Linked DNA regions of Lytechinus pictus. The protein of the gene in region 1 binds, or shares a complex with, the protein of each later gene. Links are inferred from orthologs where the notes say so. Each region holds a gene or a part of one and is shown in the gene's direction. Other genes may lie near its edges.

Region 1 (11,130 bases):
TTGGTCTCTTGACGTATCTGGTTGCCATTGGTGCCAACGTGAACGAGCCGGACGGAAAGAGCGGTCGCACCAGTCTCCACTACGCAGTCGAAATGAACGACTTCCACTTGGTCCAGTGTCTCCTCTGCGAACTGCACGCTGATGTTGATGCGGTGACCTTCGACCTCTGCACACCCCTCCACCTGGCAGCAGGGAGGGGCCATGAGGACATTGCATGCCTGCTCCATGGGGCGCGGGCAGACACCCAGGTCCAGAACTTTGAGGGGCAGTGCGCGTATGAGTTGACCAACATCCCATCGCTCAAGTCACTGCTCTCACAAGGACATGAATATGACACTACAGATTATTTCTACTGAAGACATTCTCTTTGTCCTTTCATGGGTAGAGTGATGATGAAGGCAAATGAACAAACTGTCTCCGCAAGGGGAGATGTTGCAGGACAGCGTCTCCTTTATGAAGAAAGAGCGTGCAACCGGACCATTTATCATGGATACATGTTACATGACATGAAGTGAGATAGCTGTGGTATGTTGATGTTAAGTGAAGAAACTGGAAAGGGCTTTAAGTCCAGGGGATTGCAGCGAAACGGCAGGAAGAAGAAAAAAGGAAGACAAAGAAGAAAGAAGGAAGACATCCAAACTTTTGATTTTATCGTAAAAGGATGGATGACATATTCTGATAATTTCTTATTGTATTGTCTTGATGTTGAAGTAATGTTAGTGTAATGCCTTTGCTCAGTAAAATGTACATGTATTAGACAACTTGTTGTACAGACATGTTTTGTTGCAGTTAAATAGGTATTATGCAATGCTTCAACACTTGATGGATAAGAATTGCAGTTCTGTTGTGCTTGTACGTAGGAGAATTGAGATTGTGATGTGGTCAGAATATGAAGGAATTGGTAAATGTACATGTATATCACATTGCTATGATGTGTGAATGTTGAAACTGAGAGAAGTATTATTAGTCTTTGGAAATGTGTGTGAAAAAAGAATAACGTTTCAGTCATATGCATGGAAAAAACATTTATTGGAATTCAGATATTTTCTGTAATCTTGTAATATATGTTTGGGTACAAATGTAATCTTTCAAAAAAAAATGTCTTGTATATAATTTTTTTTTCATTTTTTTTTTTAAATAGCAGACTTCTCAAGCAACACATAAACACTGAGCAAAAAAGAAAAACTACCAAAAGAAACGAAACCAATGAGCAAGAGTAAATATTTGATCGTGTTCTTGTCAATCATGTAAATAATGTATATAGTGTACATATATATATAAAAATGCATTTATTTGCAGTAAAATAAATTGCATTTCAGGCATGTATTCAGTATCTTCTAAAACCTGTAATTAATAATCTTGTCCATATCCAGGTTTTATCAAAGGCAAAGACATTTCATAGTATGTATTGTATTAGAAATGTTCATGAAGTATGTGTCTCTCAATTACTTTGTTGTTATTAATTATTGTGGAAAATTGAGGCACAGACGTATCTGCCAAAGGCAAATATATGTATCTCAGGACCATTGAAAACCTTTTCAACTGGGGGTGGGAGGAACATTTAACTTCAAAGAGGTAAATAACAAATGCTTGTATAATTCTGGTTTCTGCTTGATAAAGAGTTATAAATGTAAAAAATGCAGAATAGTTAAAAAAAACATGTTATTGTCAGCCAGCCAAATTGAATGATATCAGTTGATTTCAACTATCGTTGCAATATTCTTGTAATAACAGGTTTTATGAAGCTAGCTGCTCATCTGGAATATGTTTCAATGTAATATTTTTCTCATGGAAGACTGGGAGGTCATCTTATGCACAGTTGACTGCACTTTTTGACTTCACCTGAATAAAGGATGTAGGGTTGGTTTTATTCTTGAAGAAACAAAAATAGTATTGCACTCTAATTATTCTCAATAATTATCCTCAAAGATTAGTATATTGAAGGGAAGGATTTTGAAATAATTCACCTTTTATATAAATGTATCCACTCTATATTTTATCTATAGAGTGTTTGAATTATTCAAAATTTTATCACTGTTTTGTTGATTATTTATCCTGAATATTATTATTATTTTGTTTTGTTTTTGCCACCAGTAAAAGAAGTTATGAATAAAAAGAGACGAAGAATTTAAATTTGAGTTATTTTGTGATACCAATGTTATTTGATGTGAAGTGTGTTAGTGTGTAATGGATATATAGCAGTAACTTAAGAGACAGAACATTGATAGAAATAGTTAATAAGGAGAGAGAGAGAGAGGGGGGGGGTGAAGGAGAGAGGGTGAAAGAGAGAATTTGGAGGAAAAAAATGATTATATGATGATGATATATTTCCTTAAAAAATAAAACAAAATACAACCTAATTCATTTTAAAGGTAAGCAGGGAACTAAGATTTCTTTGACCCTCAATACATATTTCTTGTTACAAATTCACCAAAGCTAGACACTATCAAAAGAGAGAGAAAGGAAGTTAAGATAAAGGAACAGAAAATGATGAATGGATTTGAGGGGGGGGGGGCAATAGCATGAGACATTTTGAAGTGAGACGAAATAGAAAAAAATCCTTAATTTATTTTATTTATTTTTAATTCTCTTGATCTTTCTTATTCTTTTCTTCCTTTTTTGAAGAAAAATCTCCGTACTATCATACCTTTTGGCATTTTCAGCAACAACAATTACGTGCTTGTCAGCAAGTACTATATTGTTCATGGGAAAAGGGGGCGCTGTTTATGTTTTATCAGAGTATTAAATAAAGTACTAGTAAATAACTCCGTGTTTCATATTGGACTAAACAGCTATAATACTTGGTCCAATACTTACTTTGTCTAATGCCCAGTTGGTCCAATGACCAATTCGTCTACACTTATTGATTTTTATTATGACAAATTAAAATTTATTTCATTTTCATTGTTCGTCCGAGGAGTTGGGAGGCCGATCTAACTATTTTAAAGTGATGTTAGACCAAGAGGATATTAGATGAAACTCGGATATAGCTTATCTATAAATTAGACAAAATTTAGTGAGTTTTACTAGATGTGATCCATTTTTTTGCATGCAGTCTTAGTTTATCAAACAATTTAATTTTGGATGTCGTAATTGTACTAGTACATTGCACATTGTTACTCATTACACCAAGTATTGCGGGGGGGGGGGGGCATGTACCGCCCGGCCTATCCACAAACAGCAAAGCAAAATATTTACAAATTGCAATGAAAATTTCACACTTCTTTGCTATATACCCCCCCCCCAAAAAAAAAAAAAACACAAACTAAAAAAAAAAAGAATAACAAAAAAAAGGTAAAAAAATAAAATAAAATAAAAATCGGTAGTAACCACGCTGCATACTACTTCGATAAAACTATTGGATTCCGTTACATAAATGCATCAACGATGCTTGAGAAAAACAAAATATTAACAGAAATAAAGTATGTTAAAAAGAAATAAGGTTATACTAAACCGAGCTCCAATATCTCATTTTCAATTCAATTCAATTCAAAAATGGTCTTTATTGATAATCAAACATGTTAACAATCATACATGAAAAAACAGCAAGAGCTGGAAATATCATGTTTACAAGTTGGTGTTGGCACATTATTAAATACATAGTAAAAACCACAGTAAAATACATTAAAAAGGCTATACATTCAAAAGTTAATACAATTTAAATAAAGCATAAAAGGCAATGAATGAATGAATGAATGAATGAATACAATATGATAATGGCAGACTTGAAGGAGAGGAGACTGACACTTATTTAAATGACAAAAATAATTGTATGGTGGGGTGGGGATGACCATTTTGCATTGCCTTTCCTAGTCGACACACTCATCCTTTGTTGAGTATATATGTCAACCAAAAAAGGCAATTGACTGTTTTTAAATCTTGTTGTTCTTATTGGAAATTGTTGATAGTAGTTTGTACGACGAAGAGATATGTTTGTATGTTTTTTCCGAGGTAGCCATGTCTTACACAAATGATGAGTTGAAAGTGATTTTGCAAACTTTTTACACAGTGTCAGTCTTCTCTCCTCAAGTGTTGGTAAATTACATACCTGACATGCATTTGTGTATGTGATGTAATTATGTCCTAAGATAATTTTACATACTCTACGTTGTATTCTTTCAATAGTATTATTTTGTTTTGCTGTAAGACTGCTATGGAAAACTGGAGCACAATATTCTAAAATTGGTCATATATAACCCATATATTGTCACCAAATCCTTCAAAGGTAAATTGAACTTTTTCAGTTTCCTTAACATCATCTCAGAATGAAGTGTCATCGTTTTAAAAAAGAAGATGGCATACTAAACTTCATTACCAAATCTCACGGTATCATATTTGCATTTAACAGTACATCACACATGAACAAGAACCATAAATAGCAAAATTCTAACCGAGGTTTATTAACAAAACCTTAACCTAAATAAAAATACTTGTACACAGTGGCAAAATGAGCCAAATATTTTAAGGGGCCTGATTTGGCACAACGGAAAATTGCGAGCGAAGCGAGTGAGCAAAAATTCCGACATTTTTTTAATTAAAAACTTTATTTTTGTTAAAGGTTTTGACATAACATTTAGAAAATGATATATTTCACTCTTCTCTCATCAATTTTCTTTCCTTTTCTCTTTTTTTTTCTTGGTCGTGAAAATTTTGGGGGTCCATGGCCCCCAATTCCTCTCTATTTGTACGCCAGTGCTTGTACTTTAACTTAATTATTAAGTCTTCTTATAACTGCAGACCTCTTTAACGGTTGTATTTACACTGAATACAAAAAAATACATCTGAACAGATCACAAAATCGCTATACTCTCTCTCCTCTGTGTTCTTCCTCCGATAAGATCGGAGATTTATTTTTGGCAGCTTAATATACAAATGTCAAATTCCTCGAGCAGCATTATTTTTAACAATTTGCTAAATATTTTGCGTCTGGGATGTTTCGAATATCAATTGACAGATAATTCCATCAGTAGGGCCAGAAAATGAAATCGATGATTCATATTCCTACATAAGAATGTTAAATTATACCAGGAATAGTGGTTCTACACACCTTTCTATTAACTTATCAACCAATTGTTCACCTTTTCTTTCTTTCTGGTGTGGGTGATTGCGCTAGCTCCGCCTCTGGGGATCATCAGCTTGCCTTGCATAGTTGCATATTCATGATTAAGACATGCAAAGAACTGTTTCATCGAAATAGTGCACAAATTTAAAATATCATATTTTTCTTATTCCTTGTCCGATTTTGATGATTCCTCCCGTGTTTTAATTTGCTTGATTTTATTTTATCTGTTTAAATTATATTATTTTCAGTCTTTGATACGTAACGTACTGTTCAATACCGTCAAGGCTACCCTAGGTAAATGAATGAATGCATTTCATAAAACTTTTAGTCAGTTCAAATTTTCACTGAGTGCTATATAAGGTACTAAAATAAAATATTTGCATCTGACTGACATAGAATATTATGTCAGTGGGAAATTATACTGACAAGATTCACGAAACACTCCTGTGGTCTGACTCTAAAAAAAGCAAATTGGCTCTTATGGAGAAACATACACCCCCAAGAAAAATATAATAAAAACAAAACAGAATTAATCTCCCAGACAAGTCTCCTTGAAGTAGAAGTGATGATTACGTCATAAAGTGAAAGTGGAACTCGCGGGAATGGAGCTAACAAAAACAACAATAAACACCACTGCCGCCATCACCAGCACCAGCACCACCCCACCCTGTCTATATACGCTATACCAGTACCACCCACCACGGCCTCTACCATCATCATCACCACCGACCGCCACCACCTCTATACCACCACCACCGGCCACCACACCATCACCACCACCACCCCACCACCACACCACCACCACCACCACCCCACCACCACCACCCCACCGACCACCACCATGTCTATATATATACGCTATATACCACCACACCGCCTCTACCATCATCACCACCGCGACCACCTCCACACCACCACCAGCACCACCACCACCCACCACAGCCTCTACCGCATCCACCGAACCTCACTACCACACAAAAATGCCGGGCAAAAATGGCAGCAACGTTGACTGCATTGCCTTTTCATTTTTTTTAATTTTTTAATTTTTAATTTTTATTCTTATGTTCGGTACCGGTACCGGAAGTAGATCAACTTGAAACTCAACGCGGGAAATCTAACAAGCGCGAAGATCGCAGACAGTGTCATCTTTGCAGCAGCTCACGGGGCCGGGCTGCGCTGGCCTAGCGCCTAGTGTGCACTGTACGCTGGTCCGCTGAATCGATCGTATTCGCCGATGCTTGATAGTGATACGTATTCAGTCTACCTGTTCAGTTTTGCAGGGGTTGTAATTTTAGCTCGAAATTTTTGGTATTAATTCGTCTTTGTTTGCTGTATTCACTGGCATACTCCGCAGACTACTGGAGTTAAATTAAGAAGTTGCCCTTGGCTTGACTGAATTGAGATTAAACTCGTGGCTCGTGCTGCAAATATTTGAACCTGTTCTACTACCTACGGGAGATCGATACTAGTATTTAGTAATTACTAGGCCTGCCCTAAGTCATCCTTCAAGTTCAACTCAACTCTCTCTCTCTCTATAATTGTAGTGAGATCTTGGCCAAATTTTAAGTTGAACTTTGAATCTGTGAAACAGTCAAAATTTTAATTCATAGACTCAAGTAACTTGGTCTCGATAGTCCATCATGGCTTCTGTCAGTGTCAGTGAAGATGACCTCTCTGAACAGTTTGAAACGTTTGGAGTAACGTTGGACACCAATGATCCTGACATTGTTGACAAGTGTGAGTTTTGTTAGAAATCTAACTTACATTCCTTTGAACGATTAGGCATGTAATTCCACCACTCGATCATTAATGTGCAAATGAATTGTTATCGAATTTACATGTATTAACTAGATTATATAATAAATGAGAATTGCATTGTTGTCATGGTTGTTCAATCCAGATGCAAAATTTTCAAGAAATTAAAAAATCATAAATTTATAAATCTGTGTCTTGTTCTTGTGTTTGAAGCATGTTCTTTTAACGTTAGATGAAACTTATTTTATGAAATGCATGATGTAGAAGGAGCACTAATTTCAAGATGATGGCTTAACATGCATAATGTAGACTATGTAGTATGTTGTAAAAGTAGACATCTAACAAATTTTCATTTTGCAGAGAAAAAAAAAGTAGATTGTTACGTATTCTAGATCTATGAATTTCCCCTCGCCAAAATAATTATGTTGCTAATTGAATGTAAAAAATGGCTGTTATGATGACATTTTATGTCTGTTTTCTTCTTTCTTTTTGTTACAGTGAAAGAATTATGTTTATTATACCGCCTGACAGCAGAGGATGCAGTGGCCGAGTGGATTGCATTTTCTACAACTCACAGTGGACTGGCAATTAACATCGATACACTAGAGCAACTTGAGAGAGAGGTACGGATTGCTGAAATGCATTTAGGGTGTGGCTAGTCTACTTGTTCTTAACGTTTTTCTACTCTACTTTTCAGTTTTGCATTTTTACTCATGTAGCGACAATATTTTTATATACAGTGATAATAATATAATCTATAATAAAACAATTTACAGTGCTCTATGCCTTATTTTCCGTATGTCAGATGTCTTACACTAGCCTTAAAATTATATTTTAAAAACATAATTCCATATTTATTTCTCAATATGAACCTTCCACTTTGCGATTTAATTTCATATCCCAATCTCAACCTTCTTCACAACTTATAGATTTGTTTATTGAATTTAGTGCATGTATTTCAGTTAGCATTACCATATTATAGCTTTTATTTATAAATATCTTTGGAATTTATTTTGTAACGTGCTCTCATCTATAATTACCTTGTAAGTGCAATATACCAACATCAATTAATTAATTGTTACTTTATATTATTTGACTATTTCATTTCACTTATAAATGTAAAGTTCTATGAAATTTATGTTTACATTGTAATTTTTGTTTGTATCAGTCTACCGACTGTTTTAACAAGGAAGTATTTTGTACAATAAACCGAAATAAATGAATGAATGAATGAAATAAAGAAGGTACAAAAGGAATTCAGTTAAAAAAGTCCCGCACTAGATCAGGGAACCGTTGCATAAAAGTTTCCATTTTGGTGACTTTGCCATGCAATGGTAACTTGTATGGAATACTTGATTCCGATTGGTTGTTGATCATCGTTACCATGGTAGTTACCATTGGATGGCAAAGTTATCTTAATAGAAACTTTTTATGCAACAGGGCCCTGGGAACGTTTCTATTATCAACGACCAGATGGTAAATGTATAAACTGTTAACTGAATAGTTTCTATTGACATCTCCAGGGGAGCTAACCCAGGGAGCCCAGGACTCGTCTGTGTAATATTAGGCAACGGGTACTCTCCAAAATGGGATAGAATGGGGTCGCAATAGCACTCCAAATAAAAGGGGAAAAAATAATTAATGCACTTACCTCGATTATATGGATGAAGGTCTATCGTGACACAGAATCCTGACATCGATGCACAAACTGGACCCTCAAAAAAAGGAAAAGTTCTGTCACGTTCGTTCTTTCAAAATTGAAAACAAAATGGCCGATCGATACTGAGAACGAACGCTACTTTTCCTTTTTTTGAGGGTCCAGTTTGTTCCTTGATGTCCTTATTCTGTGTCACAATAGACCTTCATCCATATAATCGAGGTAAGTGCATAATTCATTTTTCCCAGATTTATTTGGAGTGCTGGTGCGACCCCATACCACCATTTTGGAGAATACCCATGTCTGCCTAGTATTACACGGATGAGTCCTGAGCCCAGGGGAGCATTTCATGAAAAATTTTGTCCGTGACTTAATTTGCTCTTAGTCAATGAGATGCAAGGATGTGGTACCTTATAACGAAGCCGAGGGAAAGTGAAAATCCCTGGCTATTTGTTACGTGAGAAACACCTCGTTCATCACTAAAAAAATTAAGGCAATGAATCATGAATGAAACAATTAAAAAAATTAATTCAAACTCATATCAATTTGGTGGTGTACTTTTTTTCATCTGCAAACCGGACTCAGATAGATAGTTTTGATAATTATGATCATCTGATCTTGTAAGAACCTCAAGAGAACATTCTTGCTTGTTCCACATGTTTTAAATGTGGAAAATCAGAGAAATTATCAGTATGATAATTATGATTGAGGTAGGCCTATATAATTGTGAAATTAATACATTGTAAAGATAAAAATACATACCTTAAAAGTTACATTTGATATGTTTAAGGCAAGGCCACTTTTCCATTGGGCACGTATTTATATGTTACAGCACAAATGGGAGAAACAAAAACAAGAGCACAAAAATCTCCAAGGCACATGAGAGGGGCATCAAGGCCAGTCAACAAGGAATCCACAGGACAGCCATGGTATTCAATGGACTTGGAGATTTATAACCCTTTCTCCTTAAACTGATGTTCATCCATTATACAGGTTGAAAAAAGAAAGCGAAAATGTATGCATAAGGGCTGGGGAAGAATTACAAGGGGACTTGGGGTGATTTAGCCCAAGAAATGTTCAAAAGAGCGCTGGAAACAAAGCAAGGAGCCCTGGACATTCCAGTTCATCTCGATGTGAAAGCAATATCCAATGTTGTAGATTCCAGTTCATCACGATGTGAAAGCAATATTCAATGTTGTAGATTCCAGTTCATCATGATGTGAAAGCAATATCCAATGTTGTAGATTCCAGTTCATCACGATGTGAAAGCAATATCCAGTGTTGTTGATTTCAGTTCATCATGATGTGAAAGCAATATCCAATGTTGTAGATTCCAGTTCATCTCGATGTGAAAGCAATATCCAATGTTGTAGATTCCAGTTCATCACGATGTGAAAGCAATATCCAATGTTGTAGATTCCAGTTCATCATGATGTGAAAGCAATATCCAGTGTTGTAGATTTTAGGCAGTAAGTTGTGAAAAGTAGCCCCCCCCCCCAAAAAAAAAAAATTGCTTGCATAAGATTGTATGGAATGTTTGTTTTCTCTTTTTTCTTCAAAAATTTTGGGATTGGTCTTTCCAAAATTTTTCCAATATTATCTTTTTATAAAAGTTGTTTATAATGATAATATCATGTTATGTTATGCCGGTCCCGCTGGAAGCACAGCTTAAAGCTGAGAGTAGTTACCCTGGGTAGATAAGAATATTATTACCGGTATTATGACTTTTGTTCTACCTCCAGGCACTGACCAAAAAGAGCTCTAAAGTCAAGACCCCTTCAAGCCAGAAGCAAGCTGCCAGGAAAACATCATTCTCAATGTATCCTTCTTAAATAATGTCTGTCTGATTTTTGTTATCAATATTTCAGATATCAAGAACAAAACTAAGATACAGTAGAACCTGTCTATAAAGACCACGTAAGGGATCGATAAGAACAGTTTTTTCATGACCATTGACCAGGTTTCTGTAATACATGTTTAAATATGGAAATTAATTCAATGGAAATCAAATTTGAGTTCTATGCTTCTTGTGTACAGGTGATTGGTAAATTAGTTTGACTGTTTATGGGAAAATGTTTTTCTACTGTAAAAAAATCCATATTACCTTGTACAGTGTATAAGAGAATTTCCTTATTGTGAATTGCTGGGATTAAAAATTAATAAAATTTGCTTGTGACATTGTGTTGTGAGCTTGCCCTACTTTATAGCATAGGTAATATATAATTTTTAAGTTATATAAAATTATTCCTATGCAAATTGCAATAATGCTTTTTTCGTCAATTAAAAAATATTCAATGTATTATCATGGATGGAATTGAAATTTTTTATTCTGCCACTTCAGAAAGACATATATATATATTAATGTAAAAAAATTAATAACAGCCTTTGTTAGTTTGTTTCTGGATTTTGAATATGTTAGTGATGTCTGTTTCTCCTGGCACTATTAATGTAGAGTTATTGAGATTTTAACTATACCTTGCAAGCACAAGCTTCTCATCCTCTAATATTAGCATAGTATTGTAGCATTTTGGACAAGATGCATGTAATAATTCCTTTAAGATTTCTTCCTTAACCAGGAAATACAAAAATACCAGGCTTGATGATGATGATGAGTCTGATGATTTGCTTGATGCATATACCCCTGGCCCAAAGGCAA
Region 2 (11,117 bases), on another chromosome or scaffold:
ACATATGTTTTTCCATTATTCCGTATATTTGCAGCTAATCACCTTTGAAATATACATCTGTACCATTAAAAGTTCGTCTTGCTCTTTCTTGAGGAAAATAAAAATAAGCTAACATTGACAAAATCCATTTATGATAGGGTGACGATGGAAGAGTAGAAAAGATACGCAAAAATGTTGGACATAATAAAATGCCCTATATAGAGTTTAACAATTACGGAATAAAGCAATATTGCGAAGGAGGAAAATTGGGAAACAACATAAAAATACAGCATGAAGTGAAAGTTCATGAATATATAAAATCATGCATAAAAGTTTATGCATTATGTGCGAGATGCGGCAAGACACATCTTGATGTCAGTGGGGCACGATTGACATGGAGGGCGCAACTTTTCGCAGAGGATTAGAGTGAGGATGGTTTGAGAGGATTAGAGTGAAGAAAGAAAGGTTTGAGAGAGATGATTGATGAGCTTGCCGGGCGAAAAAAAAATGAGGAAATTTGTTGACTTGGAATATTTTGGCGGAAGGAGTGAAGGAGGTTAAAATTCAATATAACGGGGCATTTATATATAACCAAGAAGGATAACGCAAAAGTGAGTATATGAAATTATTTACAATTTCTTGTGCATACTTTTTTTTTCAATTTTGCCGTGCCTACCAAAATGCCACATTTATTTGAAAATATCCGAGAAGATCGTATATTGGCGGACCGATATCGACATGAGGTTTGCTGTAGAGGGGATAACTTGGGAGTTTAGAATGAAAAAAAGGAAGCTATATATATGTTAAAATAAAGTTTTAGGCCTACACGCCGACTACGAACATCAAGTGCAAACTAGTTGCGTGAGTTTTTTGTTCCATGTTTAGGCCCCCTGTTGCCTAAACAGAGAAATGTTCCGGGTGTTATTTCAGGTGACTCAATATACTCAATAGTAAACGCACATCGTGTTAAAATACATAGCGATAATATAAACGAAGTGAAAAAAATAACAAAATCCTGTTTGGAATTATTGGTACCAATATATATATTTTCTAATGAATTAAATCACTGATCGTTGATTCCCTGGCCTGCTATAACTGCCGCCGGGGAAACCTCCGTACGACTTGAGCGCTAAACCAGTTTCGGCTGTCAGCTCATCTCATGTGGCATGCTGACTACGATGCTGGACTGCAGATCAGAAGGTTCGAGTTCGATCCCCATCATGGACAGAAAAAATAAGGTTAGTAAAACAGTGTTACGTAATATAATATAATATGAAATGAAATGCACAGTATGATGAATAAATTGGATGGAATGAATGAATGAGGAATAAATCTACCAACCATGTATCATACAGAAAACACAAAAAGAAAACGAAAATACGATGCACATAGTATTTTATTGAAAACCCGCCGATTTCATATATTTTAGTGCCCCTTCACCCCCCCCCAATCCCTAATCCCCGCCCCTCTCTCGCACAGCTGAAATACCCATTAACACGCCACTTCACTGAACGCCGATATCCCGCTGACTGAGCTTTGTTATTGTGCGGTCATGTGTGACACCGGTCGCACATGCTCTTACGCACGTCTAGCGATAAGAATTTTCACTGGGCTGAGCAGTTTTAATGGCGCTTGGGCACAATAGCGAATTTGGCCGTCCCCAAATCCAAAAATGGGGATTATTAGATTCGCACAGCTCGAGAACTTGCGAAATGATAACACACACAAATGAAACACACTTACACTTTGGTTCTCTCCCTATTATATACTCGTGATACAGTCCCCACTCTGCGGGAAAACAAGTTTGATTTTCACGGCGGTGGGGACAGTTTCAACAGTATAGTATACTCGTGATACAGTCCCCGCGCTATGGGATACACAGTTCACTTTGCACGCAGTGGGGATAGCTCCAACAGTATATACTCGTGATACCGTCCCCTCACAACATAAAATCGTGCTCGTTCGACAAGGGGATGGGGACAGTTTCCCAGTGCAACGTGACAAGGAAGACTCATTCAAAACCTTCGGGAATTATTATTATTATTATTGTCATCATCATATTATATTATCATTTTATCATTATTATTATTTTATCATAATTATTATTATTGTTATTTAATCATAATTATCATTATTATTATTTATTTTATTATTATTACTATCATCATAATAAATATTATTCTTTATTGTTGTTGTTATTATTATCATCATAACAGTGATAATAGTATAATAAATTATTATATTATTATTATCATTATTATTCTTTATCATTGGAAATGTGCCCCTTCAATCCAGTCCGTTCCTTGTATTTCATTTAATTCCTTCAAATTAAATCACTGTATAGACTCATTCATAACTTTTGGGTATTATCGTAATTATTATCATCATTATTGTCATTATTTTTTATGGTATTTATTTATTATTTACCTAATATTGTTATCCTTATTTTTTGTTAACATTATTTATCTTTTATTGATTATTTTACAATAATTATTATTATTGTTATTATTCTCTATTATTAACATTATATTAACCTTTATCATAATTATTATCAACATCATTATTGTTATTAATCTTTATTATCATCATCACCATCATTATACTATTGTTGTTATCATTACTTTATTTTCATTTCCGTCACATATTTGTATTGATTACTTTAATGTTTTGGGGTGACTCTTTCAATAATAACGACAACAAAAATGAAAATGATGCCAATGATGATAATAATTATGATAATAATTAATACCCAAACGTTATTATGAGTCTACAGTGATTTCATTTGAAGGAATTAAATGAAATACAAGGAACAGAATGGATGGAAGGGGCACATTTTCAATGATAAAGAATAATAATAATAATGATAATATAATAATTTATGATATTATCATTATCATTATAATAATAATAATAACAACAAAAATAATAAAAAAATAATGATATATGATGATGATAGTAAAAATAATAATGATATTAATAATAATAATAATAATGATAATAGCAATAATAATAATGATAATTATGATTAAATAACAATAATATTAATAATGATAATAACAATAATAATTATAATTATGATTAAATAACAATAATAATATAATGATAAAATGATAATAATGATAATATAATATGATAATGACAATAATAATAATAATTCCCGAAGGTTTTGAATGAGTCCTCCTTGTCACGTTGCACTGGGAAACTGTCCCCATCCCCTTGTCGAACGAGCACGATTTTATGTTGTGAGGGGACGGTATCACGAGTATATATACTGTTGGAGCTATCCCCACTGCGTGCAAAGTGAACTTGATTTCCCGTAGAGTGGGGACTGTATCACAAGTATATAATAGGGAGAGAATCCAAGTGTGTGTTTCATTTGTGTGTGTTATCATTTCGCAAGTTCTCGAGCTGTGAGAGAGTTGGGGACTGTGTTCTGGAGAAAGGAAGTGATTTTCATGCGTTCTGGTAGGTGTGATTCTAATAATCCCCATTTTTGGATTTGGGGACTATATCACGATTATGCCCATAGAACAAGATTGCAAAGACAAGGCGAAAAAATCCAACTTTTTAGTTTTACTTTTTTAGTTTAGGGGCCTACTTGATAGTTTAATTTTTAGTTTTACCTTATTTATCTCTAAAATGACAGAAAATGCTTAAAATATCATATAACAGTTTTGCATTAACAATTGATATATTTTCTGATGGAAATATGGGCCTGATTTGCCGAATTTCAATCTCATCCGCTCCTTCGATCGAATGTTGAACTGGTGGGGTGTGTTGACTAATGTCAGTAGACACTCACACGTATTGCGAGGTTTATAGTATGTACTTATATGAACCTCGCACCACCGTCACCACGTACGTGTTTACAGTATGGATTTTAGAGTTGCCGGTTAACATCGCTTCATAACGCGAATAATGTTAGCCGAAACTCATTCCGCTACTCACCAGGGCTTTTTCTGGTGAAAAGCGTTCCATTTTCAATTTTACAAATTTTATTCATGGAAAAAGCATGCAAAAAAAGAGCAAAATTGCTTACCTCGGCCTGGAAAGTTGCTTTGCATGTCTCTTTGACGGAAATAAAAGGAAGGTCGTTGGTGGCGCTAATACAATTCACAACCTTAATTCAGCTTGACGGTATTTTTTAAATAGATTTTTTATTCATGGTATGCGCAATTCCAATGATTGTTTGATATAATAGAGACACCAATAAATGCAATAACTTAAAAAACATACTTTTTTATTATTTTTGCTGACGATAATACGTTTTGGAAAATATTCAAAGCGATGACAAATTAAACAAAAAATATAGAAAATTCTACGTACCTTGAACAAAGCCTCGCAAGTGCTACCGTTCGTTTGTCAATTAACGTTCCACCAAAGTCTTTACAGTAAAAAGCTCAGACACTTTGCCAACTTCGCGTAACGCTTTGCATCGATTTACGTGTAAGATAGTTTTTGTGTCTAGTCTTTCCCTTGTAGTGTCTTTGATACGAAGATAAATCGCGCGCCCTCTTTCGCTCATTAGACGAAAAATTTGACAACTCGCAAGGTTGCTTTGTATTTTGTGGTCAATGAGAAGAAAAATTAACGCTTAAATGATGCTTTTTGAGGGATAATCACCATATTAGGAGGAATTGACTTCACATCGTTTGGTAAGTTTCGTAGGAGGATTTCATTCTGTAAATCCTCTTATTAGATTTGCAGGAGTTTGTTGAATTGTTGAATGCGCCGTGCCTCAATTTTCCTGTACACGGCGGCAGAGATGCACCCATGGGTGGTCAGTAGAGGCGCAAGGCTAATATGGGAGACTGTCTCCCATGTGGGAGATTACTCCAATATCAGAGACTTTCGTAAAGAATTTGGGTATCCAATTTCAGAGACAGTCTCCAGTTTGGGAGACCAACTTCCTTTGTTTACATTTGCTGCAAAAGGATTACCTTGGCGGCAAATAAAAATGTGATAAGCAGATTCCTCATGAAAAATTACCCCTTTTCAACGTCTACTTTAAAAATTCACCGTCTACTTTTGTTTTGATAAGGATTTTTGTTGTCATTCACACACAAAACAAATGGGCTTCTGACCTCAGTGAGACAAAATTTTGGGTGGAAAAAATCATGCTTTTGTTGGTGTTGTTTCTTTTGTCCTTTTGCAAAGCAAGTCTCCAACATGGGAGATTGTCTTCCATATTGGAGAGAGTCTCCCATCTGGGCCGTGCGCCTCTACAGATTGTGGGTGATCGTCGACTACTAGTTCTCAAGTTACCGTCCGCGAGGTTTACTGTATAATGTTAGAGCCGTCGACGAACATCGACGGCGCATCGATAGAACTTGATACGAACGAGCATAATATTGGAAAGAATCGTTGAACATGCAGCTAAAAAGAAAAAATAAGATTAGTTAGCAAACACAAATTTATTATGTCCAATTGTTTGGCCCATTGCCAGCCAGACAATTTAAACCATGCAATGCTTTGTTTGTTAAGCTGATCGGACCATTGACAATTGCATTATTTCCCTCCTCTTTTGCATTTTCAATGTTTCAACCTAAATCTTAATGCAATTTGTCCATACAGTTCCAAAGAGCTACTTTTTGAATCGTGAGTTTTCCTTCACTCTTGAGAACGACATCTACATCCGCTACCAATCGTTCAGTGACCAGAATGAATTGGAGAAAGAGATACAGAAAAGATGTCCATACAAGATTGATATCGGCGCTGTATTCACGCACAAGGTATTTTACGTAGGGCCATTTTAAAACCTGTTTAACCTTTTCACAAAGAAAGATGTTTGTGGTGGTGAAAATTAATCAAGATATAGAAGATAAATCTAGTATTTTGAATACCATTATCTCAATGTGCATGTATCATACAATGTGCTTCCATGGGATTTTTATTGAATTTAATACAAAACTACAGAAGTTCAGTGGCATTAAACAAATGTAAATGCATGATATTGAATAAATAATATAAAGAAATATGCAAATCATTTTGATTGTGGAATGATAAAAATTTTACTGCAACTTTTAACCACCAGAAATACATTTAGTGGAAACATACATGTCAGCATATTCAGCTGTAATTGAAGATCATTTGTTTGGTGATTTTCAGCATACTCGATTATCAACTAGTTCTCATTATTTCACAATGTTCGACTTGCTTTTTTATTTCAAATCCACTGTACCACTAACATTTTTCACAACCTACCAGTTTATGAATTCTATAATTGTGTTGAGGGAAAACAATTCATCTGATTATTTCATGACAGGATTGGCAGGAAAATAGATTTGATAAGGGGGGGGGTAAGATTGCAGATGAGACCTCTTTTTAATTCCTTGAATTATACTCTCTTTATATCCTTCATTTCTGAACTTTTTAGCCCAAAGATCATCGGACGTTAAAGGCGGCTGCATTTCAAGCCCAGGAGAAAGAGCTTGTCTTTGATATTGATATGACGGATTATGATGATGTCAGGAGTTGTTGCCAGTAAGTGAAATAAAATGTATAGTGATTGCTCCTGAAATAAGGGGCATATTTTGATTTATCTCCCATAGGCTTGTTGTGGTCTGGTGGTTGTGACTTTCAGACAGAGGGTTGTGGATTCAAATCCCAACCATGGTGTGTTGTTATTTACATTGTGTTGCACTCAACCGTGATGACGTGAATGGGTATCTGGCACTGACCCTGGAAGTGGCAGCTCGAGGTAAACCAGGGATGATAATTCTAGTGCACCACAGAATAGATTATTTCTACAAAAATGGCGGTAAATAAATTCCTTCTTTTAGTTTCGTGGGCGGCTCCCCTTTTTGCATCCTAGTTCTCTATAAGAATTTATATGAATGTTGTTGGTATAAAATGATAGGAAAAGAGGAAAGAGTATCGTGAAATGATTACAACAAGTTTGCAACACTATAAGTGATTATTTTGCTATGTTCAGGTCAAAAGTTTACAATGATCATTTGACATACAGATGTATACGAAAATTTGCAGAGGCATAATGGCATAAGCACGTAGGAGATACCGGTATTTATCTTTTAGTTGCTTGATGAGAAGATTTGATATGTATCAAAGAATATAATAACTTTTACAACTGTTTTATCTTTATTTCAATATTATTGTCTACTCATTACAGAGGTGCAGATATATGCTCCAAATGTTGGCCCCTGATGACGATTGCAATAAAGATTGTGGACAGTGCCCTCTATGGTATGACCTCTATAGATATTTTGAAATACAATGTGGATGTATATTTCACAAGAATATGACAGCTAACATTAATATTTTGAGTGAAATAAATCCCAAATTCTTGGAACAAGCATCGAGCATTAAGAAACTAGGGCCGGGTTGAACCGACTGATGTTGCCAGTCACCAGTGCCATTTTCTGCAGACTGGTAGATCGATGAACTGATGAAATACATTTTATCAGTTTAAGAACTAAATTTCTTAAGTTCCATGTAATATCATCAACCAAGTGGGACTTTGGACATAAGAGTACCATGCAGTACTTGTCAAAATTCTTGCTTTAATATATCGGCCTATTATGATGCTGTATGTGTTTACTACCATTTCTCACCCCAAGATTGCACTATAACTCCGACAGACCGGTGGAGTGATTACAATTTATTATTATTATTATTTATTCGGCATTTCAAAATACATGAATTATAGTACAATACAAATTACATAAAATACGTGACATAATACAAAGGACCTGGAATAGAGATAAAGGGGCTGCCTGGGTTTGGAAAAGGTTAACTAAATTACCACGACCCACAGGTCTTCCTTCCCTCACCCCTTTACCTCCATCCAGGTCAGTATAAGAATATTAAAAGAAACATGAATTAAAAGTATACAACTGATACTGGCAACAGTTAATTTGGCGAAACAAATGTAACAAGGATCCATCAGCAATTATCATTTCAATTGATTCATTGCAATATAATTATAAATAATAAAGTAAAAGAAAAAAAAAGTAATTTGACTTGATTGTGTACATATCCAAACTGTTTTTAATTCTTAATTGACTATTTTATTTGTCTACGGTTGGACAAGAAATTGTGCTACACTGAAGAATTTGACAAATGACTAAATTAATAAAATTTACAAACAGATGAAATATGGCTGTGCCCTTGAATAATTCAACAATATAACATTATGAGCTGATAAATTCAAGCAAAAACTTTTGAATTGATCATTTGTGCAGATGACTTTGGTTTTGAGCATCGTTTGTGGGTCTACTCAGGGCGACGTGGTGTTCATTGTTGGGTGTGCGATGAGGCTGCTAGAAAACTATCTCAGAATGCACGGTCAGCAATCGCAGAGTATCTCAGCATTGTCAAGGTAATCATTAGCTACCTATAAATAGAGAATAAATTTGCATATGGTAATGTTGATATTATAAGTATCTAATTGCTTTATATAGTATATGAATATTCTGACTGTAGGAGGGTTCCAATTATTTTAGTATGAATTCTGTGAGGAATTTATTATGCAGACCAGCCATGACACCACATTTTTTTTTTTCATGTGATAATATATCACTATTCTCTAAGCGAGAACTGTCGATACTCATGTGATGCCCATCATGTTTGTATTGTAACTATTTATCTCCACAGTAATGTTCATTTCTTTTTTTACTTATTCTTCATTTGGAATAATACAGATTTTATATGGTTTTGTAGGTTAAATATGTGATGCATTATAAGGGCCATCATTTGAATTAGAAGCTCACATCCGCTCAATGTATTGACGGTTAAAAGGGTAACAATTCAGAGTATAAGATCTTTGAAGTTAGATTAGAAACAGCTTGATAATGACAATTTGTAAATTAGAATATTGGAGATTTAGAGCTGAGTTATGGACAAAGTTGATTTTCTGTTTATTTGTTCAGGGAGGAGAAAATCAGGTGAAGAAAGTCAGTCTTCCAGAGCAGCTACATCCATCTGTAGAGTGAGTTTCTAGTCTCATATTCACAAAGGTGGTTTCAGTTGTACCATGTTACAAAACAGTGGACTAAGTAGATTTCTTCTATTATCAGACTTCATTCAAGCATTAATTTAGGGCCCTTTTCAAAAGTGTGCTTTTATAATTGAACTTTTCTTGGTACTTGTTGAAATAAGCCTAGTTACATACATAATATCTGCTAATGTTGTAACCCGCAAGTGAAAACCCGAACCGTACAGTCCCGTATAATCCAATAATTTGCAAGCGGTACCCGCTGACCCGTCGGGTTTTAACCCGCAAGTCAATTTATCTTTGAAAAATGAAAAATATTATTTCTGCAATCCCTACACTTATACAGGCTCAAATCAGGAAAATATATGCCAACTACTAACCTAGCCTAGAGCTTACAAACTTACAATTTGCAAATTCGCCTTTTATTCCGGAGAGAAAATGTTTTTTGGGGTGACTTTGTACCACGAAATGGGTCCGCTCTGATCTCGAAATTGAAAGCATTACGCAATTAACTCCTCTGATTGGAGCCGCAGCTCAGCGCGCGCTAGCTAGCCCAGGCTGCCCAGCAAAGATCGGCAATGTTGTTTTTCAGTCCAGGTCGGTCGACACGGCAACTCACAACAATCATAATTACAATATTCAATTCTATGGGACCTCGTCTATAAAGTAATCAAAATTGAAAGAAATACCAGGATAATGATACAGTCAATTTTTTCTTGTATATCTCCATGTTATTTTCTTCTGTTTTTGTATTTCTTCCAATTCTTTGTAAACTAATACAAACGTGCACGAGGGCGCCCATGAACTTACGTAAACAGCTCGTGTTACTAGTGCTTGGCTAGCTTAGCTATGCTTTTATTTATTTTTATTTTTTATCTCTCTCGATCAATCGGTCAAGAGAGAGGTACCGTATTTGCAAGAAACTTGCAATCCATTGTAATCCAATTTTACATCTTCTGAAATCTTAAAGACTTTCAATCAATTGTACACCGGAAAAATTAAGAGATCTGGGGGCCGTTTCATAAAGCTGTTCGTAAGTTAAGAGCGACTTTAAGAACGACTGGTGATCCTTTCTTACGCGCAAAACCATCGCTAATGAATATACCATTCGCCATATGTAAGGATCACCAGTCGCTCTTAACTTAAGAACAGCTTTATGAAACACCCACCTGGGCATTCAGGGTGCGGGGGCTTCAGTTTTCATCAGAAAATGTATGAAATAACGAAAAGGAGGGTTAGTTAGCCACTAGACTAGACCAGCTTAGCATGTCTTAAAAAAAGGGCAGCTAACACTCTGACCTGACGGCACGCTCTATCAGGTCATGACCTAATTTGGTAATCCAATAAGCAAAGAACTGTCTCACTGCCGTGCACCGCAAATCCCTCGAGCTCAAACAGCGAGCGTTGCCGTGGAAACAGGCTCAACACGCCCTACTCTCTGCCACGTGGCCTATCACTCGCTCCTTGCCAGACATGATTACGCAATGTATTCTGGCTTCTGTTTACATTTTCCGAACACATCCCCTCCCCTCTCTCTCTCTCTCTCCCCCTCTCCCAGTCGTAAAACATTCCTTTCTCTGACTGCGCTGCACTGGCGCTCCTTTGAAAGAGCAACTTGATGTATTATGTCGAACTGTCTCAGTCCTGTTCACTGTTCACAAGACAAAAATACGCCGGCATTTTTTAAAAGGAAATATCTTCGTCTCTAAAAGAATCCGCCACGTAAGAAGCACATAATCCTAACTCAATTTTCATTGTTAATGTTTTTATTATGCGTCGTTACTTCTCCCTTTTTTTCGTATGACGGTCTGCGGGTTTGAGAATGAACTCGGCCCGGCCCGCAACACGCGATCGGGGGCATACCGGCAGGGTGCGGGTTAGACCTTAATATCTGCATAGTCCATGGTTTTGTACCATGGTACGATTGAAATCACCTTTGTAAATTCTGGCCATTTGGTTTCAATAATTTTAGAACAAATTGATAGGTAGTGATGATGGTGACAGTTGTGATGATTCTATGATGATGATGATGATGACGACGACTATGATGGTAATGGTGATGATGGAGATGATGATTATATAATATTAATAATAGCTAGCTTTTCCCATAATGGGTCAAAGCGCTTTACAGCATATTATTACCCCGGTCATTGGATTCATTTCAATCCTGCACAAAAAGTGCACA

Evidence for each region.
Region 2: DNA polymerase alpha subunit B-like (region 1) and DNA primase small subunit-like share a complex: the UniProt entries of both Homo sapiens proteins name them as parts of the alpha DNA polymerase complex. The link is inferred for Lytechinus pictus from reciprocal best matches to the Homo sapiens genes POLA2 and PRIM1.

What each region holds. Positions count from the first base shown.
Region 1 is NC_087251.1:49,041,301-49,052,430, reverse strand, and holds the start of DNA polymerase alpha subunit B-like, read left to right. Parts: upstream 1-5,694; 5' UTR 5,695-6,702; coding exon 6,703-6,799; intron 6,800-7,315; coding exon 7,316-7,440; intron 7,441-10,216; coding exon 10,217-10,293; intron 10,294-11,068; coding exon 11,069-11,130. Other genes in the region: NF-kappa-B inhibitor epsilon-like, read left to right, coding at 1-356. UniProt on the Homo sapiens protein: Accessory subunit of the DNA polymerase alpha complex (also known as the alpha DNA polymerase-primase complex) which plays an essential role in the initiation of DNA synthesis.
Region 2 is NC_087245.1:19,759,856-19,770,972, reverse strand, and holds the start of DNA primase small subunit-like, read left to right. Parts: upstream 1-5,519; 5' UTR 5,520-5,534; coding exon 5,535-5,711; intron 5,712-6,355; coding exon 6,356-6,462; intron 6,463-7,108; coding exon 7,109-7,182; intron 7,183-8,180; coding exon 8,181-8,317; intron 8,318-8,867; coding exon 8,868-8,926; intron 8,927-11,117. UniProt on the Homo sapiens protein: Catalytic subunit of the DNA primase complex and component of the DNA polymerase alpha complex (also known as the alpha DNA polymerase-primase complex - primosome/replisome) which play an essential role in the initiation of DNA synthesis.